4 linked regions of the Anolis sagrei genome follow. The protein of the gene in region 4 binds, or shares a complex with, the protein of the main gene of each other region. Links are inferred from orthologs where the notes say so. Each region holds a gene or a part of one and is shown on either strand. Other genes may lie near its edges.

Region 1 (7,192 bases), on a different chromosome or scaffold from region 4:
TATAATGGTCAGTCGTCACACTAAAATCGTTGCTCATCATCCTCCATCCATATCTCAGGGTGTTGGCTCACCCAGCTCCTTAAGCCGCTCCTCATAGGGCTTATTCTCCAGACCCTTGATCATTTTAGTCGCCGTCCTCTGGACATATTCCAGCTTGTCAACATCTCCCTTCAATTGTAGTGCCCAGAATTGGACACAATATTCCAGGTGTGGTCTAACCAAGGCAGAATAGAGCATGGGTAGCATTACTTCCCTCGATCTAGACACTATGCTCCTATTGATGTAGACCAAAATCCCATTGGCTTTTTTTGCCACCACATCACATTGTTGGCTCATGTTTAACTTAGAATCATAGAATCAAAGAGTTGGAAGAGACCTCATGGGCCATTCAGTCCAACCCCATTCTGCCAAGAAGCAGGAATATTGCATTCAAAGCACCCCTGACAGATGGCCATCCAGCCTCTGTTTAAAAGCTTCCAAAGAAGGACTATCCACCACACTCTGGGGTAGAGAGTTCCACTGCTGAATGGCTCTCACAGTCAGGAAGTTCTTCCTCGTGTTCAGATGGAATCTTCTCTCTTGTAGTTTGAAGCCATTGTTCCGCGTCCTAGTCTCCAGGGAAGCAGAAAACAAGCTTGCTCCCTCCTCCCTTTGGCTTCCTCTCACATATTTATGCATGGCTATCATATCTCCTCTCAGCCTTCTCTTCTTCAGGCTAAATGTAAGCCGCAATGAGTCCCTTGGGGAGATGGTAGCGGGGTATAAATAAAAGTTTTTTAAATTATTATTATTATTATTAAATATTTATTTATTTAAAAGTTTTTTATACCGGCCTTCTTACCTCTCTTGAGGGACTCAGACCGGTTTCCAACCATAATATCACATACAATCAATAAAACATCATAATACATATTACAGTAAAATATTAAAACAGCAATTACACTCAATAACTATAATGGTCAGTCATCACACTAAAATTGTTGCTCATCATCCTCCATCCATATCTCAGGGTGTTGGCTCACCCAGCTCCTTAAGCCGCTCCTCATAGGGATTGTTCTCCAAATCCTTGATCATTTTAGTCACCCTCCTCTGGACACATTCCAGCTTGTCAATATCTCTGTTGAATTGTGGTGCCCAGAATGGGACACAATATTCCAGGTGTGGTCTAACCAAAGCAGAATAGAGCATGGGGAGCATGACTTCCCTAGATCTAGACACTAGGCTCCTATTGATGCAGGCCAAAATCCCACTGGCTTTTTTTGCCGCCACATCACATTGTTGGCTCATGTTTAACTTGTTGTCCAAGAGGACGCCCAAGATTTTTTTCACATGTACTGCTCTCGAGCCAGGCATTGTCCCCCATTCTGTATCTTTGCATTTCGTTTTTCCTGCCAAAGTGAAGTATCTTGCATTTGTCACTGTTGAACTTCATTTTGTTAGTTTTGGCCCATCTCTCTAATCTGTCAAGATCGTTTTGAATCCTGCTCCTGTCCTCTGGAGTATTGGCTATCCCTCCCAATTTGGTGTCGTCTGCAAACTTGATGATCCTGCCTTCTAACCCTTCATCTAAGTAATTAATAAAGATGTTGAACAGGACCGGGCCCAGGACAGAACCCTGCGGCACGCTGCTCGTCACTTCTTTCCAAGTTGAAGAGGAAGCATTGGTGAGCACCCTCTGGGTTCGTCCATTTAACAATCAACAACCAAAAATCAACAAAACATCATAATCAGACAACATCATGAAAACAACATCATGGCTCAACAGCAAATGATGATTTCAAGCTTTAGCATGGAGAGCATGACTTCCCTAGATCTAGACACTTTGCTCCTACTGATGCAGGCCAAAATCCCACTGGCTTTTTTTGCCGCCACATGACATTGTTGGCTCATAGAATCATAGAATCAAAGAGTTGGAAGAGACCTCATGGGCCATCCAGTCCAACCCCATTCTGCCAAGAAGCAGGAATATTGCATTCAAATCACCCCTGACAGATGGCCATCCAGCCTCTGCTTAAAAGCTTCCAAAGAAGGAGCCTCCCCCACACTCCGGGACAGAGAGTTCCACTGCTGAACGGCTAGTTTGAAGCCATTGTTCCATTGCGTCCTAGTCTCCAGGGAAGCAGAAAACAAGCTTGCTCCCTCCTCCCTGTGGCTTCCTCTCACATATTTATAAATGGCTATCATATCTCCTCTCAGCCTTCTCTTCTTCAGGCTAAACATGCCCAGTTCCCTAAGCCGCTCCTCATAGGGCTTGTTCTCCAGACCCTTGATCATTTTAGTCGCCCTCCTCTGGACACATTCCAGCTTGTCAATATCTCTCTTGAATTGTGGTGCCCAGAATTGGACACAATATTCCAGATGTGGTCTAACCAAAGCAGAATAGAGGGGTAGCACTACTTCCCTAGATCTAGACACTATGCTCCTATTGATGCAGGCCAAAATCCCATTGGCTTTTTTTGCCGCCACATCACATTGTTGGCTCATGTTTAACTTGTTGTCCACGAGGACTCCAAGATCTTTTTCACACGTACTGCTCTCGAGCCAGGCCTCATTGTCCCCCATTCTGTATTTTAGCATTTCATTTTTTTCTGCCAAAGTGTTTTGCCTTTGTCCCTGTTATAGTGTTGTTTGGGTTTTTTCTGCCTAAGTGGAGTATTTTGCATTTCTCCCTGTTGTAGGGTGTTGTTTTGTTATGGCCAACTCCTATATTAATTCTTAAAAATATCTAATGAGAATGGCCTGAGGAGAAAAAGCTTTTTCCCTGCCTTGGAGGGGATCCAAGATGGCGGCCGTAGCAGGCCTCACAGGATGCAAACGCCTCCCTCAGCGCTTCTCGGCGAGGCTTTGAGGGGAAAGCGGCTCTCACCTTGAGGGACTGGGTTCCAGGCGTGGCCGGGTCGCTGTCACATACCCGCGGGGACAGAACGGCCGCCATCACCGCCGACGGCCGCGGCGAGAAAGGTCCACCATCGGCCTCTTCTTCCTCCTCCTTTCTCCCTCACGCGACCCTACTTCCGCTTCCGGCTCTCAGAACGCCGTTGCATGACAGCGCCACCTGCGCCCTAGCAGTGGTATTGCAGCCGCATCCCAGAGCGCCTCCTTCTTCTACTGCACACCCATATGCGCATGCGCAAGGCATTGATTACACCTGTAGACTTAAGTTTTCACCCAGCAGGCCTTAGACCAGGGATCTTCAAACTTTTGAAACAGAGGGCCAGGTCACAGTCCCTCAAACTGTTGGAGGGCCAGATTATAATTGGAAAAAAACATGAAAAGAATGCAATAATTAAAATGAAGACAAGTCTACATTAGGCAATCCCTCGTTGGCCAAGTAGGATAGTCTTCCAGGATCAGTCCCTAGGTGACTGTGGAGCCCTATTCTTGATCTGCATCTTCTCCTGTAGTAAGGGCATTGGTTTCCAGGTGAAAGGCCGTCTCAGTCAGGGTTGGCTTGACGCACCTTCCTCTTGGCACGTTTCTCTCTTTCACCCTCCATTCATGCCTCTTCAAATTCTGCAGCACTGCTGGTCACAGCTGACCTCCAGCTTGAGCACTCAAGGGCCAGGGCTTCCCAGTTTTCAGTGTCTATGCCAGAGTTTTTAAGGTTGGCCAGATAGGCCCTATATCCTGGGATATAGGACCTATCTGGAAGAGCCCTCTTAGATAGTGTTGTGTATGCCTGCTTGCAGCATAGGATTCAACTTCCTACTCTAGATTTCTTTCAGGATGGCTGGGTTTCTTTCAGGCACATCTTAACACCTCTCAACAAAAGATTCCCCCAGGCACTGCCAGGCCATCAAATGCTAATCAACGTGGTCAGTTGAAACATTCACACCTAGCTCCAGCAGGCAAGAGTTCTTTGTCCCACCCTGGTCATTCCACAGAAATATAAACCTTTTTTCCTAGTTCCAACAGACCTCACTACCTCTGAGGATTCTTACTATAGATGCAGGCAAAACGTCAGGAGAAATGTCTCTAGAACATGGCCGTATAGCCCGAAAAAACCTACAACAACCCAGTGATTCCGGCCATGAAAGCCTTCGACAATACGTTTATATTTGTTTAAATTGTTCTTCATTTTGTTAGGTTCTTGTGGGTTTTTTCGGGCTATATGGCCATGTTCTAGAGGCATTCTCTCCTGACGTTTCGCCTGCATCTATGGGAAGCATCCTCAGAGGTAGTGAGGTCTGTTGGAACTAGGAAAAAGAGTTTATATATCTGTGGAATGACCAGGGTGGGAGAAAGGACTCTTGCCTGCAGGAGCTAGGTGTGAATGTTTCAACTGACCACCTTGATTAGCAGGTGGACAATTTCAACAGAAAGGAGGAAACCATTGAAATGAACAAAATCTGGCTACCAGTATTAAAAAAAAAAACTCTAAAATTAGAACAGCACAACAACAGAGAGGAAACAAACAAGGACATCTAATCACCTCTCAACAAAAGATTGCTCCAGGCACTGCCAGGCAATCAAATGCTAATCAAGGTGGTCAGTTGAAACATTCACACTTAGCTCCAGCAGACAAGAGTCCTTTGTCCTATCCTGGTAATTCCACAGATATATAAACCAATTTTCCGAGTTCCAACAGACCTCACTACCTCTGAGGATGCTTGCCATAGATGCAGGCGAAATGTCAGGAGAAATGCCTCTAGAACATGGCCATATAGCCCGAAAAAACCTACAACAACCCAAATATAAACTTATTAGCATATGAATGGGAAGTGTGGGCCTGCTTTTGGCTGATGAGATAGGATTGTTGTTTTGTGCTTTCAAGTCATTTCAGACTTATGTTGACACTGAGCGAGGGCCGGGTAAATGACCTTGGGGGGCCACATCCGGCCCCTGGTTGTTAGTTTGAGGATCCCTGCCTTAGACAGAACACTAATATTTAGGAAATGCTATGCAAACACCAAGCACAAAGTAGCTGCCCGCAATAACATCCTTGTAAGCTACCCTGAGTTTGCCAGGCTGTCTGGCAAAGTTCCAGAAGCATTCTCTCCTGACATTTCACACACATCTATGGCAGGCATCCTCACATGTTGAGGGGTCTTCTGGAAACTAGGCAGGTGAGTTTTATATATCTTTGGAATGTCCAGGGTGGGAAAAAGAACTCTCGTCTGTTTGGGGAAAGTGTGAATGTTGCAATTGGCCACCTTGATTAGCATTTAATGGCCTTGCAGCTTCAAAGCCTGAGTGATTGCTGCCTGGGGAGTCCTTTGTTGGGAGGTGTAACCTGGCCATGATTGTATCTTCTCTCGAATTCCCCTGATTTTTGAGTGTTGCTCTTTATTTAGTGTCCTGATTTTAGAATTTTTAAAAATACTAGTAGCTAGATTTTGTTCATTTTCATGGTTTCCTCCTTTCTGTTGAAATTGTCCACATGCTTATGGATTTCAGTGGATTCTCTGTGTTGTCTGACATGGTGGTTGTGAGAGTGGTCCAACATTTCTGTGCTTTCAAATAATAGGCTGTGTCCAGGTTGGTTCATCGGGTGCTCTCCTATGGCTGGCTTTTCTGGTTGAATTAGTCTGCAGCGCCTTTCATGTTCCTTGATTCGTGTTTGGGCAAAGCTGCGTTTGGTGGTCCCTCTGTAGACTTGTCCACAGCTGCATGGTACATTATTTACCATGGTATTTATGCAGTGCTTTTACATGAAATAAATAAATAAACCCAGCCAGCCTGAAAGAAATTTAGAGTAGGAAGTCGAATTCCATGCTGCAAGCAGGCATACACAACACTATCTAAGGGCTCTTCCAGATAGGCCCTATATCCCAGGATATAGGGCCTATCTGGCCAAGCTTAAAAACTCTGGCATAGACACTGAAAACTGGGAAGTCCTGGCCCTTGAGTGCTCCAGCTGGAGGTCAGCTGTGACCAGCAGTGCTGCAGAATTTGAAGAGGCACGAATGGAGGGTGAAAGAGAGAAACATGCCAAGAGGAAGGCGCGTCAAGTCAATCCCGACAGAGACCGCCTTCCACCTGGAAACCAATGCCCTCACTGCGGGAGAAGATGCAGATCAAGAATAGGGCTCCACAGTCACCTACGGACCCACCAGAATACTGATCCTGGAAGATTATCCTACTCTGCCAACGAGGGATCGCCTAAGTATATCCCAGGATCTGATCCCAGGTTAGGATTTGTGGGAGTTGAAGTCCAATTTGGAGGGCCAAAGTTTTCCCATGCCTGCGGTAAGCCGAGAGCTGATGTAATAACATGCATCCAAACAGGAATCTGTGTATTCCTATTTTTATTTTATTTTTCTTAAAAATGAGTAATTGAAACCATTGTCCAGCGGGTCATGGAAGACTGTGAAAATTAAAATATTCGTCCTTTTTGCTATTTTTAACAAAACGTCTTAAAATGATGGAGCTATTTCCTAGAGAAGTATTGCAGCCCTGCGCTGGCTTAGATCGGCATCTAAGAGGCCAAACAGCTGGAAACAGAAGCCTGTCTTCGAAAAGCTAGAATTTCACCATCTGTTGCTTTGCTATGAATAGTCTGGTCGCTTAATAGAAAAATATTTGCTTAGAAAAGGAGGGATATTTTTTTAATTTAAAAAAAAGAAAAAATGTTTTTTTTCATCAAAGGTTATTTGGGAATGAGTTGCAATACACATTTTGAAGAGTACTTGGTTTTAATGGGGATTTAGTGTGCTCAATATTCGGCAAACTTCAGCCCTCCGGGTGTTTTGGACTTCAACTCCCACAATTCCTAACAGCCGATAGGCTGTTAGGAATTGTGGGAGTTGAAGTCCAAAACACCCGGAGGGCCGAAGTTTGCCCATGCCTGTTCTACCCTGTTGTCATCTTCAATCAACCTTGTTTGTAGCTTTCGAAATAGTTTCAATAAGCTATGAAAAAGAATGTCAACAAGTGGGTAAACTCTTTGGGAGGAATGTGGCTTTTTTGTGACAATGAAGCTGTAAATAGTGATTGCTTTTTTCAGCCCAAGCTTTCTTTTCTTTTTTATGAACAAGTCTTAAGCTGCCTTCTGTTGCTCAGCAACAAGTACCACTCTTTGCAGATATTACTGCATTATACAAGAGAATAACTATGTACAAGGGAGGAAAAAATCCTGGCAAAGTACCCACAGAACATGTATTTGAAAGGAAACCCACCCAAAGGATCGGCACAGTAATGACAAAATATCAAAATGTATGCCATCTGACATAGAGTCCAAGTAAGAAAAAAA
Region 2 (7,646 bases), on a different chromosome or scaffold from region 4:
TCGATATTCTGGGATATAGGGCTGTGTGGAAGGATCCAGAGTGTGGGTCTAGGTAGGTATGTGGCGCATGGGCTGCTACACACCCAAAGCTGTGGGGCTGTGGAAATAATGTGGGACTTTCTGCCTTGGTATTCTAGGATATAGGGCAGCGTGGAAGGGCCCAGAGTGTGAGTCTGGGTAGGTATATGGTGCAAGGGTTGCCACACACACAAAGCTGTGGGGCTGTGGAAAGACCCCAAGTGTGAGTCTGGGTAGGTATGTGGTGCAAGGGTTGCCACACACACAAAGCTGTGGGGCTGTGGAAATGATATGGGACTTTCTGCCTCAATATTCTGGGATATAGGGCTGTGTGGAAGGATCCAGAGTGTGGGTCTAGGTGGGTATGTGGCGCATGGGCTGCTACACACACAAAGCTGTGGGGCTGTGGAAATAATGTGGGACTTTCTGCCTTGATATTCTGGGATATAGGGCAGCGTGGAAGGGCCCTGAGTGTGGGTCTGCGTAGGTATATGGTGCAAGGGTTGCCACACACAAAGCTGTGGGGCTGTGGAAATAATGTGGGACTTTCTGCCTCGATATTCTGGGATATGGGGCTGTGTTTCCACAGGGCCCTGAGCGTGTGTCTGGGTGGAGAGGTGGTGCAAGTCTTGCCTCACACAAAAAGCTCTTGTTTTCCACGAAGGGAGCCAGCCCAGCCCAGCTCTCTGTGGCCTGAAAGAGGCTGAGACAGTGTCCCTCGCTAAGCCAGGCGTGGAAAGTCAAAAGGGGAAGAAGGAAGGAGGGAGAGGCGGCGGGGAATGCTTACCTGGCTCCTGCCGAGGGCCTGTGCGGCGGCGGCGGCGGTGCTGGCCCCGGGGCTCATGGCCGGGTGTCCCCGCTGTGGCGCGGCGGCGGGGGGCCAGGCCGGGCTGGCGTTGGCGCTGCTGGCCCCGAACGGGCCCCCGTCCTTGCCCGCCAGCCCCGCCGAGGAGGAGGAGGAAGAAGAAGAAGAGGCGGAAGAAGAGGCGGCGGCGGCGGCGGCTTGGGTGGAGGGGGGCTGGGGCTGCGGGGCCGCCGGGGCCGGGTGCCCGTACTCGGGGTACCCGCTGCTGCCCCCGTAGCTCCGCATCATGGGGCTGGGCGAAGTCAGGAGCTGGTTCAAGGTCGGCGTGGCTCCCGAGGGGTGCTGCTGCTGCTGCTGCTGCGCCGGGCCCGGGAAGCGCTGGAAGCCCTTACTGCCGCCTCCTCCTCCTCCTCCTCCGCTTGGGCCCAGCATCATGCCCTGCGGAGGGAGCTGCCTGGGGGAGCCCAGCACCCCGAAGGCCGAGGACGGGCTGTTCCCATAGCTGCTTCCTCCTCCTCCTCCGCTTCCTCCTGCTCCAGCTCCAGGCCTCCCGTAGGCGTAGTGGTTGTAGTGCCCGTGGGCGAAGGCGTCGTGGGAGTGGGGCGCGGGCTCCATGCTGAGAGGCCCCCCTGTTACTCCTGCTGCCGCCGTTGCCGTTGCCGCGGGGAGCATTAGCCCCATCCCGGGGCTTTGTTGTCCGCCATGTTGATCAAAGCAAGGCCCGGCCCGGCTGGCGGAGGAGGAGGAGGAAGAGGAGGAGGAGGAAGAAGAGGAGGCGCTGTTGCCGTTGTTGTTGTTGCTCCCGCTGTAATAGCTATTAAACTCCGAGGCGGCGGAGGGGCCTCCACTATTGCCACCACTACTACTACTTCCTCCTCCTCCTCCTCCTGGTCCCATTTTCTCCGCGTCTGCTTCCTCCCCTCCTTTCTTCAAGGCCCTCGCCGCCTTCCCCGTGGCCGCCCCGGCCTGGTTGGGGGCCCCCAAAGCGCCTTCGTGGCCTCCATGTTGCTGCTCTTGAGGCGGCTCCATGTCTGCGCTGCCAGGCTGAGCAGCGCCTCCGCCGTTGCTGTTGTGACTCTGTTGCTGCTGCTGCTGCTGCTGCGGTTGGAAGGGGCTCCTGTGCAAGGCCTGCCGGAGCTGGAAGGGCAGCGAGGCCGCGTGAGCGTGGAGGTGGTCGCCCCCGACGCCTTTCAGCTTGTGGTTGGGCGCCAGGCCGGCCTCCATCGCCGCGAACAAGCCGGGAGACTCTTTGAGAAGCGCCTCCGAGGGAGAAGAGCCGCCACCGCCGATGATGTTGCTTGCGTTGTGATTCGAAGGAGGAGAAGGAGTTGCATTATTGGCCGCGCTCAGCTCATGATGGTGGAGGCGGCGGTGGAGGAGGTGGTGGTGGTGCTGGTGGAGCTCCACGTTGTTTAAGCCTCCGCTCTTGTTGTTGCTGTTCGTCCCATCTGCGCCCAGAGAGTCCTGGCTTAAGCTGCTGCTGTTGCTGCTGCTGGTGTTGTTTCCCGGCAAAGAGGGGCTCTTGCTGCCTCGGTTGTTCTCCCTCGCCGCCACTTGCGCGGCCATGATCAAGGCAACATGGCTCACTCCGGGAGGAAATAGTCATAAATAAGGACGCAAAAAAGAAAGAAAAAGGGGGAAACCCCAAGAGGAGAGGGAAACACAAACCCCACAATAAGTGGGACGCCGGATTGTTTGCCAACCCACCCAAAAAAAACCCAAAATAATAGATTGGTTATTCCATATTGAGTTCAACTCCCCTCCTTGGCTGAGTCCTTGCTTAATTAAGGACGCCCGTGGTGGGCTCTCACGAGGAAAGTTATTTTGGGAGGGGGTTTTGAGGGGGAGTCAATAAAACTTTTCCTTTCTTTCTCTCTCTTTTCTTCCTTTCTCTCTCCTTCCTTCCTTTCTCTCTCTCTCTCTTTCTTTCTCTTTCTGTCTTTCTTTCCCCGCTTTGAACCCGGATATGGGTAAATATAACTAAATACACGTCTGGCTGCGCCGATCTGGCCCAGCGTGCATGGCAGGAAGGACAGAGAGAGAGAGAGAGAAAAGGAGCTCCAACCACTACGATCCACTTCTGCTGAGAGACTGGGCCGCATGGAAAACGCGGAGTGGATTCCGATCCCGGATTCTGCGGAGGAGGAGGAGGAGAGGAAGGGAAAGCCCGCCTGGCCTCTAGCGCTGAGCTCGGCAGAAACGAGGAAACATGAGGCTTTTAGACCCTTCCACATAGAACAGGGAAGGGTCCCCTTTTTAAACAGAGGGCCAGGTCAGTCCCGCAAACTGTTGGAGGGCCGGATTATAATATGAAAAAAAAGAAGAATTCCTATGCACACTGCATATATCTTATTTGTAGTGCAAAAAACACTTAAAAACAATGCAATAATTAAAATGGCGCAGTGGGTTAAAGCACTGAGCTGCTGAGCTTGTTGATTGAAAGGTCACAGGTTCAAATCCGGGGAGCGGAGTGAGCTTCTGCTGTCAGCCCCAGCATCTGACAACTAGCAGTTTGAAAACAGGCAAATGTGAGTGGTTCATTAGGTACCGCACCAGTGGGAAGGTAACGGCGCTCCATGCAGTCATGCCAGCCACATGACCTTGGAGGTGTCTATGGACAACGCCGGCTCTTCGGCTTAGAAATAGAGATGAGCACCACACCCGTCAGCCCCAGCTTCTGCCAACCTAGCAGTTTGAAAACATGCAAATGTGAGTAGATCAATATGTACCACTCTGGCAGGAAGGTAACGGCGCTCCTTGCAGTCATGCTGGCCACATGACCTTGGAGGTGTCTATGGACAACGCCGGCTCTTCGGCTTAGAAATGGAGATGAGCACCACACCCCAGAGTCAGACACGACTGGACTTAATGTCAGGGCAAAACCTTTACCTTTACCTTAACTAAAATGAAGAACAAGTTTAACAAATATAAACTTATGAGTATTTCAATGGGAAGTGTGGGTCTGCTTTTGGCTGATGAGATAGGATTGTTGTGTGCTTTCAAGTCATTTCAGAGTTAGGTTGACCCTGATCGAGGGCCGGGTAAATAACCTTGGAGGGCCATATCCAGCCCTTGGGCCTTAGTTTGGGGACTCCTGACATAGATGAATAAAATTCCACATTATCTGCTTTGGATCAGAATATATGGCAGTGTGGACTTGGGGACCTTCCACACAGCCCTATATCCCAGAATATCAAGACAGAAAATCACACAATATCTGCTTTTAACTGGGTAATCTGAGTCTGCACTGCCATCTATTCCAGCTCAAAGCAGATACTGTGGGATTTTTTGTCTTGATATTCTGGGATATAGGGCTGCATGGAAAAGTCCCATGTCAGACTACACAGAGAAGCCATTGAAATCCACAAGCATGTGGACAATTTTAACAAAAAAGAGGTAACTATGAACAAAGTCTGGCTACCAGTATTTTAAAAACTCAAAATAAAGACAGTAAATAAAGTGCAACTCTCTGAAAACAGATAGGAAACAATCAGGACCAGCTAATCACCTCCCAACAAAGGATTCCACCAGGCAGGAAGCAGCTAGGCTTTGAAGCTGCAAAGCTATTACATGCTAATCGAGAAGGCCAATTGCAACATTCACACTTGCCTTAAACAGACAAGAGTTCTCCCCCCCCCCCCCCCCGGGCATTCCACAGATATATAAACCCCATTTTCCTAGTTTCCAGCAGACCTCACAACCTCTGAGAATGCCTGCCACAGATGTAGGTGAAATATCAGGAGAGAATGCTTCTGGGACATGGCCATACTGCCCAGAAAACTCACAGCAACCCAGTGACAAAAAGCCTTCAGCAACACAGGCTTTACAACTGTTTTGTATTGTGTGTCACTTTCTTTTTATTCCTTCTCAATATTACACCTCGACCATTTGTGTCCATTGAGCTCCTTTTCACACACTTCCAAAGCACCAATACACTAAACTGACCTATCAGTGTTAGTTTTTGGAATGGCCTGAAAGGGTCCTCTGCATCAATCACACGATCACATTTTAAAGAAACCATACTTTGAAGCCATTTAGGTGGACGTGAGAAAAATACCTTTATTCTCATTATGTGCAGGATACCACACGGTTAAAAGGCATAGATTAAAAAGACCAGCAAAACACACATATATTAAAATACATAAGATTAGAAAAACTCATAAGCAAAAGATGACAGTGCCCAACACACATTTTAGTATCTCCAATGTTAGTCCTGTTTCTGGGTGTATTTCACCTGCTGGTTCCAAAAATGGCACCCGTTCTCCCCTATCAGCTTTAGTTTTTTCAGATACAGAACATATGCCATCTACTAGTTGCCATCTGCTCACCCATAAAATATCAGGATCTTTTAATGTGTTTAAATTAATATCTTTCAAGCACAAAGAAAACATATTAAACATTAAAAGAAAAGTGTGCTGCATAAGAATCTACGTATTTCATACCAAAAGCACAGATTTATGATACAAACTTTCCACACATGTGTTGTCAAAGGCTTTCATGGCCAGAATCACTGCGTTGCTGTGAGTTTTCCGGGCTGTATGGCCATGTTCCAGAAGCATTCTCTCCTGATGTTTGGCTCACATCTGTGGCAGGCATCCTCAGAGGTTGTGAGGGAATTCCATACAGGAAACCATTGGGGCCAGCTAACGTCTCAACAAAGAATTCCCCCAGGCAGCAACCAGCCAGGCTTTGAAGCTGCAAGCCCATTCAGTGCTAATCAAGGTGGCCAATGCTGACTGACAGCAATTCTCTCAGTTCTTTCTGACCTCTGTCTAGAAATGTTACAGACTGAACTCTAAACCCTTTGCACATTAACTACGTACCCCACCACTACTCTTATTAAGTGTAAGTTCTGTTAAAATGATTGAATCAGTCCTAAAATGTTTATTTGGAAGACTAACAGGCTATTCCATCAAATTGTTCTACCCAAGTAGCACACCATGCACTAACCACACAAATGGAATTCGCACAGAATCAGACTTGTGAAATGTACCATTTGATGAAGATAAACTACACAAACTCTCAAATATCAACTATGTTGATGTACTCAAAGGTTTAGTCCATTAATTAACTGATACATTGATTTAAAAACAAGACAGCTATTTGACTAAAAAGCCCTCATTAACTGGCATCCCTTGAAAACAATGTTCATCTGGAACTTTACCCTCAGAAATATTATTGTCCATTTCATGTTAGCAGCATTGCTTTAAAGAGTATGTGAGGATGCATTTTAATAACTGCAGTATCATAGTCTCTGCTATTTCCCCACGTGCAAATATTTTTATAAAAATTGTGTGTATGTGTGTAAGAGAGACTAAGAATACAGTAGAACCCCCATATGTGTGGGACTAATATCTGCTGTTTAATTTATCCACATTTAACAAAATACCATATGTCCTTTCTAGCCATTTTCTTGGTCCTCCAGCATGTCATCGTGGTTAGGTATTTTATTTATTTGTTTGTTTGTTTTAGGGCATTTATATCCCTTCCTATCTCACCTCCACAGAGGGACTCAGGGCAGGTAACAACCGGCACAGCATAGTGCCCACAATAAGAAAAGCATTTGTTATTCATTCGTTCAGTTGTTTCCGACTCTTCGTGCCTTCATGGACCAGCCCACGCCAGAGCTCCCTGTCGGTTGTCACCACTCCCAGCTCCTTCAAGAAAAGCATAAATATACATAATATAATAAAACAGTATAAAAACAATATAAAAATATTAAGTACAATAACGAATTCAGTGATAATCCTAAAAACAGTCCATCATAGTCCATTAAAACCATAACTTCGCCAGTCAGTCTAGTCAGCAAAGGCCCGATCCCACAGCCAGGATTTCACTTTTTTTCAGAAGGACAGGAGAGATGGAGCAGATCTGATTTCGTTTGGGAGGAAATTCCTTACCCAAGGGACCACCATGGAGAAGGCCCTGTCTCTCGTCCCCACCAAGTGTGATTGTGATGGTGGGGGGACAGAGCAGGGCCTGCCCTGACTATCTTAAGGTCCTAGATGACTCGTAGCAGGAGATACGTTCGGACAGGTAAACTGGGCCAGAACCGTTAAGGGCTTTATAGGCCAAAGCCAGCACTTTTGTGCTCAGAAGCTAATAGGCAGCCAGTGGAGCTGGCGTAGCAAGGGCATGTGAGCTCTCGGTACCCCATCCCATGAGCAACTTGGGTTCCAAGTGATAGACTAACTGAAGCTTCCAAACAGTCTTCAGAGTCAACCCCACGTACAGTGCATTGCAGTAGTCTATTTGGGATGTAACCGAAGCGTGGACCACCGTGATCAAGTCTGACCTCCCAAGATATGGGCGCAGTAGGCGCACAAGTTTTAATTGTGTGAAAGCTCCCCTGGCCACCGCTGAAACCTGGGGTTCCAGGCTCAGCAATGAGTCCAGGATCACTCCCAAACTGGAAACCTGTGCCTTCGGGAGTGTAACCTCATCAAGCACAGGCTGTAACCCTATACCCTATAATGCTATTCATTAAATTATGTCTGTATGTATGTACTTGTTGGCATTGAATATTTGCCTTTTATGTTCTCAGCTGCTCTGAGTTCCATACTGAGAGATGCGGTGAGATATAAAGTTTCATTAGTATTATATTCTTGGATGGGAAGTCCTTAATTTAAATGAGATTTGCTATCTTCCCACTGTTTCATGTATCCAGATGAAGTCCAGGAGCATATTCATTATGGATACAGGCGTCATACTAATACCACAATCTATTAAATAAACTAGGAAGTAAAATAATCCAACACAATATTTATAGTACATTCAAGCATATGTTAGAAGTAGGTAAATGATACTTTTATCATAAAGTAGT
Region 3 (7,120 bases), on a different chromosome or scaffold from region 4:
CAGCAATGAGTTCAGGAGGATTCCCAAGCTGCGAACCTGCACCTTCAAAGGGGGTGTAACCAGGAGGACCTCTGTCTTGTCTGGATTCAACTTCAATTTGTTTGCCCTCATCCAGACTCTCACAGTGGCCAGACTTAAGCAGCTGAAGGGGGAAAGGAAAGGGCCTGAGGCTGATAGGAATTGAGGGAGTTGAAGTCCAAAACACCCAGAGAGAGGGCCCAAGTTTCCCCATGCCTGAGCTAACCTATGTTTGGGGATGAGGCCAGGATCTTGAGTAGCTCCTACTAAAAACCAGTGCAGATTTCTCATTTAGCTTGCCCCCTACTCCTTTCAAACACTTAGATGTGGCCTGTCTTAACCTTCTCCTCTCCAGGTTAAACATATCTGGCTCTCTGAGCCACTTTCTCACAGCGCTTGGCTTTGGTTGCCCTTCTCTGGACAGGTTCCAGCTTGTCAATATCCTTCTTGAACAGTGGTGCCCAGAACTGGACTGATGGGTTGACTTGGTATGCATGGAAGTTGTCCTTTGCCACTGTGGCAGGTGCCTACTCTTGACGCAGCCTTCCTGAATTCCACTTTATGCTTAAGTCAAATTGGTTGAGCAGTGTAACCTGTCCAAGTTGACTCAGACCTAAGTCCTATTGTGTCCCTTGGGGCTTATCCTGCCCTACCTTCACTGCAGTTAATGGTATGTGTCCTGATCATGTGCATCTACACGCTTAAGCGGCTGAGGGGGGAAAGGAAGGGGCCTGAGGCTGTTAGGAATGGTGGGAGTTGAAGTCCAAAACACTTGGAGGGAGGGCCAAAGCCTGCCCCTGCCTGGTGTCGAGGGAGAGTGACTCCAGCCTTCTTGTAAGCACATTAAAGCAATCCTTTTGTTTCTCCCTCTGGGTAATTCCTTTGCAGACTCCTGTAATTAGCGACAGGTAAACTCAGACGTCTTGGAGTGGGCTGCCTTTGCCAGGAGCTTTGCCAGAGCGGTGTCTGCGCTCCTTTGGCGGTGCAATTCCCCCTCTTAATGAGAAAGTTGGCAAAGCTCCTCCTCCTCCCTCCCTCCCCCCTCCCTGATGCCAGAGGTCAGGTCTCGACACGCCAAAGCAGACGATCCTGGGGGAGGAGGAAAAGACATCGTCTTTCATTTTTCCAAAAGTTCCTTGGGAGTGAAGCAAGCAGGCGGTCGGTTGGGCCACTTCGCGTTATGTAACGACGCGGAGAGGCATTCCTGGCCGGAGGGGGAGAGGAAGGGGAAGGGAAGGGAAGGGAAGGGAAGGAAAGGGTGCCCGTCCTGCGCCGGAGTCAATACGACCGTTGCAACGCTGCCAAGAAACCTGAAGCGGAAAGTGGTCGGAAGGGAAAAGCTGCGGGAAACGGAGGAGGAGGGAAAGGCGGAACTTTCTTGACTTTCTTTGCAGTGCCAGAAATGCACCCACATGGCTGGGAGGCGGTCTCTGCAAGAGCATGGTTTAGGCTGGATCTGCACTGCCATAGTTTGAACTGCAGTAAATACTGGAACCCTTGTGCCAGCAGGACTGAAGACCCACAGGTCGGAGGTTCGAATCCAGGGAGAGTGCGGATGAGCTCCCTCTGTCAGCTCTAGCTCTCCATGCGAGGACATGAGAGAAGCCTCCCACAAGGATGATAAACCATCAAAATATCTGGGCGCCCCCTGGGCAACGTCCTTGCCCACGGCCAATTCTCTCACACCAGAAGCGACTTGCAGTTTCTCAAGTCGCTCCTGACACACTCTCACTCACTCCGAGTAGGATAGTCTTCCAGGATCAGTGTACTGGCGGTGGGTCCTTAGGTGACTGTGGAGCCCTGTTCTTGACCTGCGTCTTCTCCTCAAGTGAGGGCATTGATTTCCAGGTGGAAAAAGGTCTTAGTCAGGATTGGCTTGATTGGCACGTTTCTCTCTTTCGCCTTCCATTCGTGCCTCTTCAAATTCTACAGCACTGCTGGTCACAGCTGACCTCCAACTGGAGCACTCAAGGGCCAGGACTTCCCAGTTCTCAGTGTATATGCCAAAGGCTTTGAGCCCATCTTTAAATCTCTTTTCCTGCCCACCAACATTCCATTTTACGTTCTTGAGTTCAGAGTAGAGCAACTGCTTTGGGAGACGGTGGTCGGGCATCCGGACAATGTGGCCGGTCCAGCGGAGTTGATGGCGGAGGACCATAGCTTCAGTGCTGGTGGTCTTTGCTTCTCCCAGCATGCTGGCATTTGTCTTCGCAAGAGATTTGCAGGATTTTCCGGAGGCAGCGCTGATGGAATCGTTCCAGGAGTTGCGTGTGACATCTGTAGACAGTCCACGTTTCACAGGCATATAGCAGGTTTGGAAGGACAATAGCTTTACAAACAGGCACCTTGTTTACAAACAGGCACCTTGTTATCCCTGCAGATGTCCCGACACACACACAACGGCAGTAAATGGTTGCATACTGACTATATAACACAGTTCAAACTGCATTATATGACAGAGGAGCAGGAGGAAGTGGTCCCAAACTCCTCCAGAGTTCTGAAGGCCCCCTTCCTCCACTGACATGTATTGTGGCCCATCTACAGAGATATTCTTGGAAGACCTCAGCAAGCGAGAGTCCAAAAGTGGCAGGCTAAAACCCAGCACCTCAATCCATGGCTGATACCAAATGAGAGATTCCTTCCTGGGCACACAGAAGACTGGGCAACTTGGAAGGCATTGAACACACTGTTGGGGATTGTGGGAGTTGAAGTCCAAAACTGCATTCATCCTTTGTGCACACGTGCATGTGTGTGTGAGGAACGACTTGAGAAACTGCAAGGCACTTCTAGTGTGAGAGAATTGGCCGTCTGCAAGGACGTTGCCCAGGTGTGTTACCATTCTGTGGGAGGCTTCCCTAGTTCCAGCATGGGAGGCTCTTGCACCAGGAGATGCAAAGCCAATCTTAAGAAATGGGCCCACAAAGTGGAGTCTAAGACATGGTAGTGTGGAGAAGAGCAAACCACAGACCACCTATTACAATGCAACCTGAGCCCTGCCACATGCACAATGGAGGACCTTCTTGCAGCAACACCAGAGGCACTCCAAGTGGCCAGCTACTGGTTAAAGGACATTTAATAGAAGGCCAAGTTTTTAAACTTTGTGTTTTCTCAAATACATCAGAACTATACCCTTGGTTCGCTCTCTGATACGATAGATCAATAAATAAATGGGAAGCTGGAGCTGACAGATGGGAGCTCACCTTGGTCTCCCGGAATCAAAGCTGCTGATCTTTTGGGCAGCAGTCCAGACGGCACATGAGTTTAATAGAATGCCAAGTTTTAAAACTTTGTTTTCTCAAATACATCACAACTGTACCCTTGGTTCGCTCCTGATACAATAAATAAATAAATAAATAAATGGTAAGCTGGAGCTGACAGACGGGAGCTCATCTTGCTCCCTGGATTCAAAACTGCTGATCTTTTGGTCAGCAGCCGTGCAGGCACATGAGTTTAATAGAACGCCAAGTTTTTTAAACTTTGTGTTTTCTCAAATACATTACAACTGTACCCTTGGTTCACTGCTGATACGATAAATAAATAAATGGGAAGCTGGAGCTGACAGATGGGAGCTCACCTTGGTCTCCCAGAATTAAAACTGCCGATCTTTTGGTCAGCAGTCTATATGGCATGTGAGTTTAATAGAATGCCAAGTTTTTAAACTTTGTGTTTTCTCAAATACATCCCAACTGTACCTTTGGTCCGCTGACACAATAAATAAATAAATGGGAAGCTGGAGCTGACAGACGGGAGCTCAGCCTGCTCCCCGGATTCAAAACTGCCGATCTTTTGGTCAGCAGTCCAGACGGCACATGACTTTATTAGAATGCCAAGTTTTTAAACTTTGTGTTTTCCCAAATATCCTTGGTTCGCTCCTGATACGATAAATAAGTAAGTCCAGAGCGTGGCTCTGTGTCTCTCTCCCCTTTTCCCCGTGCCGCTGGCCCTTTAAGACCTGCTCTCCGAACACTTGCACAGAAAGGGAGTGACCTCTGGGCTTTGACAGCTCCCCTAATAACCAGCCCGAGCCCTGGCCCCGCCCACCGCGCTCCGATTGGTCGCCGGGCCGGTATCCTCTCTCCCCATTGGGCGCCCGGTTCCCCTGAGCGAACCTTTTAGAACTCCGAGGCACAATATTCTGTTACATTGTAGCAAAATGGCGACTGTCATTCACAACCCCCTGAAAGCGTAAGTAGGAATCAAAAATGTACATATTTCCGCGTGGTTTCGATATGAAAAAAGGGCGCCTTTCCCTATGCAGGCGGCCAAGGCAGGAGCGGGCTGCCGGCAAGGCTCCCTCGCTCCCGGGGTTGGTGTGGCTTGCCTTATTTGTGTGTCACACGCACAAAAGTCTCCCTCCGCGGGGGAATTTCATGGGAAGGAACCAATTGTCACCGGGGCGTCCTGCCTGATTGATTGATGGGCGGCTGGCCGGGGACGGAGAGAGTTTTGGGGGCTCTTTAAAGGCGAAGCCACGGCTTCCGTGGCAGCTCCGGGTGGTCGGAGTCGGGGAAGGAAGGAAGGAAAAGGGAAGGGAAAGGAAGGGAAAGAAGGATCGATGCCGGGCAGGATTGGGCTGGATCTAGATCTCCCTTTCTATCCAGGGCGGCTTGTGCAGCAGTTGGGGAGTTCTTTCTTTTGTATGCCTGTCTTCGTGCATTTGTGTGCCTTCTGTGCGCGACATTTCCAAGCCCGGGGAGGAAGGAAAGAGAGTCGGGGGCTTGCCTCCCTTTCCCAGCCTTTCCTGCGCCTGTTTGCCCGGAGGGACTGCGCCGCGGACCTTTTCCTTGGCAGGTCAAGCCTTGGGAGCTCTGCGTAGATATATAGATCTAGATACACGGATGTATTGATACGAAACCCTGAGGCAAAGAGACGGCCGGACTTCCTGCGCTTGGATGGGAAGTAGCCTCCCGAGAATATATAGAAATATTCGGGAGAGAAAGAGAGAGAGACCTGGGGAGGTGAAAATATATTTCTCTCCAACTCTCTGTATATATATCAAGCATGGTCGAACTTGGGATCTCCAGGTGTTTTGGACTCGAACTCCCATCATCCCTCCCAGCCACAGGTCCCTTCCTTTTCTCCCTCAGCCGCTTAAGCGAACTTGGACCCTCCAGGTGTTTTGGACTCCAACTCCCACAATCCCCAACAGACACAGGCCCCTTCCTTTTCTCCCTCAGGAAAAGGAAGGGACCTGAGGTTGTTGGGGATTGTGGGAGTTGGAGTCCAAAACAGGAAGGGGTCTGAGGCTGTTGGGGATTGTGGGAGTTGCAGTCCAAAACATCTCAGACCCTCTTCTTTTCTCAGGAAGGGGCCTGAGGTTGTTGGGGATTGTGGAGTTGGAGTCCAAAACAGGAAGGAGTTTGAGTTTGTTGGGATTGTGGGAGTTGGAATCCTAAACAGGAAGGGGTTTGAGTTTGTTGGGGATTGTGGGAGTTGGAGTCCAGTGCTGCTTCTCCTCTATTATCGCTGGCCTCTGACAGGAAGGGGTTTGAGGCTGTTGGAGATTGTGGGAGTTGGAGTCCAAAACACCTGGAGGGCCCAAGTTCGCCCATGCCTGTTCTGTATGCATGTATCAGCTCTCTCTATTTTTTCGTGTCAGGAGTGACTTGAGAAATTGAATTGGGCGTCTGCAAGGATATTGCCCAGGGGATGTTTTACCATCCTTGTGGGAGGCTTCTCTCATGTCCCCGGCATGGGGAGCTGGAGCTGACAGAGGGAGCTCATCCTCTCTCTCTCCCCGAATTCGAACCTTCGACCTGTCGGTTTAAGCCATGCCTACCTATCGAGAGATAGTTGGAGCGTGAAAGAGGGAATCCTCGGAGAGCTGGAAGACTCTCCTCGCTTCCCATTCCGGAAGCCCGTTGGCGCTCCTCTTTGGCTCCGGGTCCACGGTTCCTTCCCCTCCATCTGCCTCTTCTCCTCCCTTCCCTCCCTCGCTCCAATCTTTCCCAAAGTAGAAAGGCTTGGGGGAGGTGTGCGTGTGCGTGTGTAGATCTCGGCGTGAGGGACTCGAGGCTCCGGCGTTGTGCTGTGTGTGTGTGTGTGTTTGTTGTGTATGTGTCTCTTTCTCTCCCCGGGGGCGGGCAGGAGGCGTCCCGACAGGTGCAGCCGGCTCCGGGAAGCAGTCGGAAGGAAGGCGCTGTGAAGATTGAGGGAGGGAGGCTTTCCTGGCCGGGTTGGGGAGGAGGGGGGTAGTTCTTTCGGGCTGGAAGACACTCACACGTTTGCTCGCACAGACACGCAACCAGCCGGCTAATCCCCGAAGGCATTAAGAAGGGAAGGGAAGGGGGGGGGGAGGGGTTTGGCCGCAGGTCTGGAGGCGCCCACTCGGCTTCCGCCCTCCCCCCTCCCGCCCCTTGACCTTTAGAGCCTCACGTTTGGCGCCGGAGGAAAGGAAAAGGCTGGCTTTCCGAGGGGGAGGGGGCACTTCCCCGCTCCTTTTAAAAGCCAAGGGACTGTCTGCAGCCACTTCCTTCCCCTTTGAGCTGCGCTTCCCGCCCTTGGCCAGCAACTCGGGGCTGACTTTGGGGCCCTCCAGACGGCAGAGGGTCTTGGCAAGCGGCTCCTGGTGTGAGAGAATTGGTCGTCTGCAAGGACGTTCCCCAGGGAACGCCTGGATGTTTGACTATCCAGTGGGAGGCTTCTCTTATGTGTTCAGATGAGAAGCTGGAGCTGACAGAGGGAGCTCACCCTGCTCCCGGATTCGAACCGCAGCAGTCCTGTCAGCAAGAGCCAGCGTTTTTCATAGACGCCCCCTAGGTCACGTGTCCAACATGATTGAATGGAGTGTCATTACCTTCCCGCCGAAGCGGTACCTATTGAGCTACTGTCATTTGCATGCTTTAGAACTGCTAGATTGGCAGAAGCTGGGGCTAACAGTAGGAGCTCACTCTCTGGATTCAAACAGCAAGTTCAGCAGCTCAGTGGTTTAACCTGCTGCGCCACCAGGGGCCTATACATAAATAAAAATAAATAATTGGGGGAAGGGGAGGTTCCGGGGGGTCCACCCCAAGGCTCTTTTCAGTGGGAGGGGAGCCCACGCGAGGTGGAGAAAGCCAACTTCCAGGCGGATGGCGAGGGGAACGCCTAAGCACCCCCCTTC
Region 4 (7,435 bases):
AGGTAAAGGCAGGACAAGGATACCTGGCTAATCTCAATGAAACCTCTATCTCCAGGTGAGGTTGAACGCCATCCAAGAATATGGAAAGAACAGGCAGGAGTCATTTCAGGACTAGTGACCATCACCTTTGGGCATTCCCACAGGCTGGAGGAGGGCAGATGTGGCCCCCTCTTCAAAAGGGGCCCCCAAACAAGAACCGCCTAGTCAGCCTGGCATCAAGACCTACCAGGAAAGACTCTAGAACTATCTCTAAGCATTGCAAAGGGATGCCATGCGGACATTAGCACAGATTTCTCAAAAACAAGTCATGCTGGATGAATATCCTTTCTATATATATATATATATATATATAGAGAGAGAGAGAGAGAGAGAGAGAGAGAATGAATGAGTTGCTAGCTTGGTAGGCAAAGGGACTTACTGTGTCTTTCCACCTCTGCAGGGGAGGTGGGCCCACTAAAATGGTCTGCCCCAGGAGACTTATGGATCCAAATGGATTCCTGACGGCTTTTGGGGATTTTCCTGCCTCTTTGGTAAGTGACCCTATCAAGGCTCTAGTCTCTCTCTGGGACAGGGAGATGACCAGGGCAATAGACCCGATCGCTCCAAAATGCCCCCTCACCAATAACCAAGCTAAACCAGCTCCTTGGTTCACTGAGAAGCTGGCAGCGATGGAGTGAAAGAAGAGGAGGCTAGAGTGTGTGTGGCGGCGGAAGCATAGCAGATCAGCTCGAGCACGCCTGGGTTCCTTTTTAAGGACCTATGACGCGGCAGTAAAGGCTGCACAGAAAACATCTATCGTGGCCAATATTGCATCTGCTAAGAACCGTCCAGCTGAGCTGTTTTGAGTTGTCAGAGGACTATTAAATCCGCCTCAGAGTTTGATCCCCGACAACAAACATTTCTTGTGACCAATACTGTGTCCGCTAAGAACCATCCAGTGGAATTGTTCCAAGTTGTCAGAGAACTATTAAATCCACCTCAGAGCGAGATCCCTGACAACTTGGCAGATCGCTGTGAAGCATTTGCTCAGTTCTTTGCAGACAAAGTCACTCTGATCCATTCTGACTTCGATGCCACTTTAACGGCAGTCTCTGAAGATGTGACACGAGCACCTGCTTGTCCGGTTTTGATGGATTCTTTTCAATTGGTTCAGCTTGAGGACCTGGACAAGATCCTTGGAGTAGCGAAGCCTACCACATGCATCTGGGACCCCTGCCCATCCTGGCTGACAGAAGAGGCCAGAGGGGGTTTGGCAGAGTGGGTCAAGGTGGTGATTAATGCCTCCTTACAAGAGGGCAAGATTCTAGCCAGCATAAAAAAACAGGCTGTTATTAAACCACTGTTGAAAAAGCCATCACTGGACCCCACTCAATCGTCAACTTTCGGCCAGTTTCCAATCTTTCCTACTTGGGCAAAGTCATGGAACGTGTGGTGGCCTCGCTACTCCAGGGGTTCTTGGTAGGCACTTATTATCTAGATCCGGCACAGTCTGGCTTTAGGCCGGGACATGGGACTGAGACAGCCTTGGTCACTTTAGTAGATGATCTACGCCAGGAGCTCGACAGGGGGAGTGTGTCCCTGTTGGTTCTGCTGGACCTCTCAGCGGCCTTCGATACCATCGACCATGGTATCCTTTTGGGACGCCTCGTGGGAATGGGACTTGGAGGTACTACTCTGCAGTGGCTTCGGTCCTTCCTGGAGGGTCGGTCCCAGAAGGTGTTATTGGGTGACACCTGTTGGACTCCACAACTGTTGTCTTGTGGAGTCCCTCAGGGTTCAGTACTGTCCCCGATGTTCACCTACGTGAAGCCGCTGGGGGAGGTCATCCGGAGTTTCAGAGTAAGGTGTTATCTGTACGCAGATGACGTCCAACTCTGTCACTCCTTCCCACCTGTTACTATGAAGGCTGTCCAGACCTTGAACCGGTGGTTGGCCGCTGTGACGGTCTGGATGAGGGCTAACAAACTGAAAGTGAATCAAGGCAAGACAGAGGTCCTCCTGGTCAGTCGTAAGGCCATTGAACAGGGCATAGGGTTACAGCCTGTGCTAGGTGGGGTTACACCTGGTCAGTTTCGACTGACCAGGTTTGCAGCTTGGGAGTCCTCCTGGATTCATTGCTGAGCCTGGAACCCCAGGTCTCCGTGGTGGCCAGGAGAGCTTTGGCACAACTAAGACTTGTGCACCAGCTGCACCCATACCAACGTCCTCTGGGCAACGTCCTTGCAGGCAGCCAATTCTGTCACACCAGAAGCAACTTGCAGTTTCTCAAGTGGCTCCTGACAGAGAAAAGAAAAACCCGGCTGTTGGTCAAAGGGATCTCCTGAGAATCCTCCGTGGGGAAGGGGTCCAGTCCAGAAGGGGTCTGAGGAGAGCCCAAGCTGAGTGGGAGCCCCGAGTGTGACTCGGCGGCTGCCAAAGGAGCCCGAGCCCTTCTCCTGGGGTGCCCCCCCCCCCCCGTCCCCCGACTTCTCTCCTGCTTGGCTCCCTCCGGTCTCTCGCCTGGTCCCGCTCTGGGCAGCAACATCCTGGGAGACGGGCAGGGTGGAGGAGGTCCGGAGGGGGGGGGCCAAGAGGGACCACGCCGCCCCCCCTTCGGCCCCACCGACCCCGCTCTTCCCTTCGGGGCCGGGCCCGTCCTGCGGGGAAGGGGCTTCAGGCTTGGCTTCCGGCTTGGCTGCGGGACCCCCCCCCCCGTCTTGGAGCCCTATGCTGGGGGGGGGGGAGGCGGGAGGGGTATGTGAAGGTTCTTCCCTCCCTTCTCGTGGGAGGCGGCGCGTGTCCCGGAGCCTCCGTTTCCAAACACGGGAGAGCGGAAGCCCCTCCTCCGTCCCTCCCTCCCCCCTCCGTCCCTCCCGCCGTCCGCTTGACTGACCTTCACGGGAGAGACAAGAGAAGTCTCTGCGCATGCGCCCTCCCCTCCTTCCCTCCCTCAGAGGAGGTAGCTATTCGGGAGGGGGGCAAGGGGGTGGAGTCGGGCGAGGAGACAACCCCCCCCCGCGCCAAGGGGGCCGCGGAGGAGGGGTCTTTTCCCCAGGAGGGGGCCTTTCCCTCCTCCCCTCCCCTCCCCTCCCTGCTTCCTTCCCGCGCGAAGTCTCTCCGCAGCCCCCGCCCTCCAAAGGGGCGTACGCCCCTCCCTCTTTCCCTCCCTCCCTCCTTCTCGAGCCTCCCTTGGGTACCACGCCCCTCCCGTTACCTGGCAACGCCGCCTCTGTTGCCAGGGAGACCAGCGCCGGAGATGCCGGTCACCGCGGCGCCGGGAAGGACGGCAAGTGCGCCCCCCCCTCGTTGCGGCGGGAAGGGAAAGGGGGGGGGTAATCGGATCCCATGCCTTTCCTCTCGGGGTGGGGGGGAAGAGTCGGGTCTGGCTCCTCTGGAGGGAGGGAGAGAGGGAGGGGGCGTCGAGGGGTGGGGGCGGGGCTCTCGGGGGGGGGCTGACCCGGGAGAGGAGGCCGGAAGCGGCGGAGGAAGGGAGAGAGGGAGGGAGGGAGGGAGGGCGCGGCGTCCGAGGGGGGGGGGGGGGGAGAGAGAGAGAGAGAAGGGGAGGGGCGGGGAGGAGCCTTTGTGCGGCCGGGAGGGGAAGAGGCCCCTTCCTTCCTTCCTTCCTCCCTTCCTTCTTTCCTCCCCTCCTCTTCCCTCCCTCCCCCCCTTCCCGGTCCGGCTCGGGGTCTGAACTCGGGGGGTGTCCTCCCGAGGGTCCGCTCCTCCCCCTCCCCTTCCCTCCCTCTCCCCCTTTTCCCTTCCCCTCCCCCCCTCTCTCTCTCTGTGTGTCTGTCGGCGCCTGCTTCCTTCTTTCCTCCCCTCCCTCCCTTCCCGGTCCGGGGTCTGAGCGTGGGGGGGGGGGTGTCCTCCCGAGGGTCCGCCCCTCCCTCCCCTCCCTCTCCCCCTTTCCCTCCCCCTCCCCTCCTCTCTCTCTCTTTCTGTGTCTGTCGGCGCCTGCTTCCTTCTTTCCTCCCCTCCCTCCCTCCCTCCCTCCCCCCCTTCCCGGTCCGGGGTCTGAGCGTGGGGGGGGGGGTGTCCTCCCGAGGGTCCGCTCCTCCCCCTCCCCTCCCTCCCCCCTTCCCCTCCTCTCTCTCTCTCTCTCTCTCTCTGTCTTGGGCGGAGGAATTTGGGCCGCAGCTGGTGCCTCTGCTCCGCCGCCTGGGGCCGTCCCTCGCGGCGCCCCGTGCGGACCCCTCCCCTCTTTCCCTCCTTCCCTCCTCCCGCCCTCCCCCTCCTCCCCTCCGCCCTCCCCCTGGGCCTCTCTCTCTCTCTCTCTCGACCGGCGGAAGGCAGGAAGGCGGGAGAGGCCGGAGGAAGAAGGAGAAGGAGGCCGGGGCGGCGGCGGCGGGGAAGGGAAGGGAAGGGGAGGGGAGGCAAGGCGGGCGGAGAAAGCAGGCCCCTCCCTCTCTCCCTCCTTCCTTCCCTCCCGCCTTCCCTCGCCCCCCCCCCCCTATTCCCTGGTCGCCGCTCTCTCTCTCTCCTCTCCCGCCCCTCCTCGCCCAGCCGGACCCATGGCCGCGGAGGAAGTGACCGGCGGGGCGCGGAAGGCCACCAAGAGCAAACTTTTCGAGTTCCTGGTCCATGGGGTGGTGAGTGAGGGGGGGAGGGGGACAGGAGGGAGGGAAGGAGGGAGGGGAGAGGCTGGCCCGCCCCGCCCCCCCCCCCCCACACGTGCCTTGCCCCGAACAGGTGCCCCGCCGAGGGGGGTCGCCCCGTCCCCCTCCCCGCCTGGGAGATGCCTTTGCGGGGAGGAGGGGGGGGGCTTCAGATTCCTCTGGATCTTCGAGAGGGGGGGGGGGGCTTGGCCTCCTGGATAGAGCAGGGCAAAGTGTGTGAGGAGGGGGCTTCTCGGCAGCCGGCCCAGGAGGACCCTCGGAAACTTTTGCCTGGAGTCTGTTCACTGGGAAGAGGAAATGCCCGGCGCCCCCCCCCCCCCTCAGGTCTCCGCAGGTGCCCCTCCCTCCCTCCGTCCCAGAGCAGCTGCGGGGGCTTTTCTGGGCAGCTGTTTCTTTGGGATGCAGCCCAAGCCTGGGGGGTACAGCTGAGGGGTGGGGGCGTGGGAGTGTGTGTCTGTGGGGAACACAAGAGAAGCCAAGCTCAGTTTTGGGGATATGCAAGGGGGAGTCATGAGGACTCCAGGGGGGTACAGCTGAGGGGGGTAGGAGTGTGTGTCTGTGGGGAATCCAAGCTCAGTTTTGGGGACAGGCGGGGGGGGGGGGGTCATGAAGACCCCAGCCCCGCCCCCTTCTGTCAGGGAGAAGGCTCCTTCCACCCAACCCCCCCCCCCCTAGGGTTGCCCTCTTCTGGACCCCCCTCCTCCTCCTCCCACAGGTGAGGTCCAGTGAAGTAGCAAAGGGTCAGCCAGGCCCTTCAGGGGGCAGCAGGGCCAGTCCAGGAGGAGGTGGAGGAAGGGGGGGGGTCGGCAACTCCCAAAGAAGGGGCCCCTTCTCTCCTTTTGCTGTCCATGTGTCACTCAAGAGGGGGCTCCTTTGCTTGCAGGGTGGGGTGGGGGGCCATGGAGGGTACGGTCCAGCCTCCTTCAAGAGTTTGGCCAGAGCTGCAAGTCCCCCCAAAACATCTTCTGTGAAAAGATGGAAGTGTCCCTCTAAAATATGAATCTGGAGCAGAAGTGGAGGCTCCTCCTATGGAGGCTTTGAAACAGAGGCTGGGTGGCCATCTCTCGGGAGTGCTTTGAACGTGATTGTCCTGCTTCTTGGCAGAAGGGGGTTGGACTGGATGATGGCCCACCAGGTCTCTTCCAACTATGATTCTTGGGGCGGAAGCCCACTGGAGGCAGCGGCCAAGAAGGGCCACTTCTGCCAAGACTAGAGCAAGCAGGGCTTGGTCAACAGGTGACCTGGCAGTGTCCAGAGAGGTGGACGGTGGGCAGCCAAGGCCAGGTAGAGCACTGGAGACCTTCTGAATCGTGGGCCTGAGCTGCAGGCAGAAGGGATCTTGGTGTGCAAGGGGCTCTGCTGGGGGCATCTCTCTCTCACTGGGGCAGGCCCCACAGGTTCAGCCCCAGGGAGAGCTTAGAGAAGCATCAAATGGGGTGGGTGGGTGATGCAGCCCCTTCAAAACTGGGCCAGGAGGCACTGAGGCCAGAGAGGGCTGGAAGGACCCCTGAAGACCTGACGGGGCAGGTGGTGCCCCCTCCCTGCCTCTCAGAAGCAGCCCCATTGCAGAGAAGGAGGGGGGGGCAAAGAAGAGTGGGGCACAATGCCAGTGGGGACGGTCCAACTTTGACCACCTGCCTCTCTGGGGCTGTCCAGAGATCCCTGTTGAGACCTATTGTGGCCCCTGGGTCCCTCTCTCCTGGCTCCTCCTCTCTGGGGCCACACCAGTCGCCCCTCCTCAATGTGGAACCCTCCCTAGTCTGAGAGTGGAGGGGGGCATTATTTGGGGAGGGGAGGGGAGGCTCACCCGAGGTCCTCTTCCTTCTCTGGATCTCCTTTGGGGCCAAAGTGCTTGTGTCCAGTTTGGGCCAAGTGGCTCCTCTTTCTCTTTTGAGGGGAGGGAAATGGAGGCAAAATAGGAGCTCAGGTGACCCCCCCTCCCCCCCACACACACTCAAACACAATCTGCACCCCACTGAAGGCTCCTCTGTGGGGGCTGGGGCCATTCTGGGCCCCTCTTTCCCCTGTTGAGTGGTCCTTTTCAGGAAAAGTTCAACTTCCTTCTTTGGGGAGGGGGGAAATGCAGGTAGTCCCCAAGTTACAAACATTTCTGAGGGTTTGTTCTTAAGTTGAATTTGCTTGTCAGTCAGAACGGGGACATTTTAAAGTGTAATTCCAGTCACACATACACAAACACATATATATTATAGGAGCCCTCAGTGGTGCAGTGAGTTAGACCGCTGAGCTGCTGAACTTGCTGATCAAAAGGTTGGCAATTAGAATCCAGGGAGCAGGGGAAGCTTCCACTGTTAGCCCCAGCTTCTGCCAACCTAGCAGTGTGAAAACATGCAGATGTGAGTAGACCAATAGGTACCGCTCCTTCTGGCAGGAAGTAAACAGCTCCCCATGCAATCATGCCAGTGGCCACTTGACCTTGGAGGCGTCTGCGGACAATGCCGGCTCTTCTGCTTAGAAATGGAGATGAGTACCAGAGTCCCAGAGTTGGACACGTCAAGAGGAAACCTTTATCTAGATAGATAGTAAGCCTGGTCAATCCATGGTTCTAAATGGTTCTAAAGTACTTACAAAACTAAAGTTCTGGTGGTGAAAATTTCAGAACTCTAACAAAATTCTCAAAATTTCATTATAAATGGCAGTTCCTAGATGGTTCTATCCTAAAAATCACCAATAATGAAATAATAATTACATTTTGAAAGTTTTGTTAGAGTTCTGAAATTTTCACCACCAGAACTTTAAGTTTTGTAAGTACTTTAGAACCATTTAGAACCATAGATTGACCAGGCCTAATAGATAGATAGGTAGATAGATAGGTAGATAGA

The links.
Region 1: SMARCD3 (region 4) and PHF10 share a complex: the UniProt entries of both Homo sapiens proteins name them as parts of the neural progenitors-specific chromatin remodeling complex. The link is inferred for Anolis sagrei from reciprocal best matches to the Homo sapiens genes SMARCD3 and PHF10.
Region 2: SMARCD3 (region 4) and ARID1B share a complex: the UniProt entries of both Homo sapiens proteins name them as parts of the neuron-specific chromatin remodeling complex. The link is inferred for Anolis sagrei from reciprocal best matches to the Homo sapiens genes SMARCD3 and ARID1B.
Region 3: SMARCD3 (region 4) and DPF3 share a complex: the UniProt entries of both Homo sapiens proteins name them as parts of the BAF complex. The link is inferred for Anolis sagrei from reciprocal best matches to the Homo sapiens genes SMARCD3 and DPF3.

Annotation. Positions count from the first base shown.
Region 1 is NC_090025.1:190,183,732-190,190,923, reverse strand, and holds the start of PHF10 (PHD finger protein 10), read right to left. Parts: upstream 3,020-7,192; 5' UTR 2,936-3,019; coding exon 2,867-2,935; intron 1-2,866. UniProt on the Homo sapiens protein: Involved in transcription activity regulation by chromatin remodeling. Belongs to the neural progenitors-specific chromatin remodeling complex (npBAF complex) and is required for the proliferation of neural progenitors.
Region 2 is NC_090021.1:69,803,425-69,811,070, forward strand, and holds the start of ARID1B (AT-rich interactive domain-containing protein 1B), read right to left. Parts: upstream 3,014-7,646; 5' UTR 2,390-3,013; coding exon 806-2,389; intron 1-805. UniProt on the Homo sapiens protein: Involved in transcriptional activation and repression of select genes by chromatin remodeling (alteration of DNA-nucleosome topology).
Region 3 is NC_090021.1:285,843,733-285,850,852, reverse strand, and holds the start of DPF3 (zinc finger protein DPF3), read left to right. Parts: upstream 1-4,115; 5' UTR 4,116-4,171; coding exon 4,172-4,203; intron 4,204-7,120. UniProt on the Homo sapiens protein: Belongs to the neuron-specific chromatin remodeling complex (nBAF complex).
Region 4 is NC_090026.1:134,052,175-134,059,609, forward strand, and holds the start of SMARCD3 (SWI/SNF-related matrix-associated actin-dependent regulator of chromatin subfamily D member 3), read left to right. Parts: upstream 1-4,430; 5' UTR 4,431-4,490; coding exon 4,491-4,568; intron 4,569-7,435. UniProt on the Homo sapiens protein: Involved in transcriptional activation and repression of select genes by chromatin remodeling (alteration of DNA-nucleosome topology).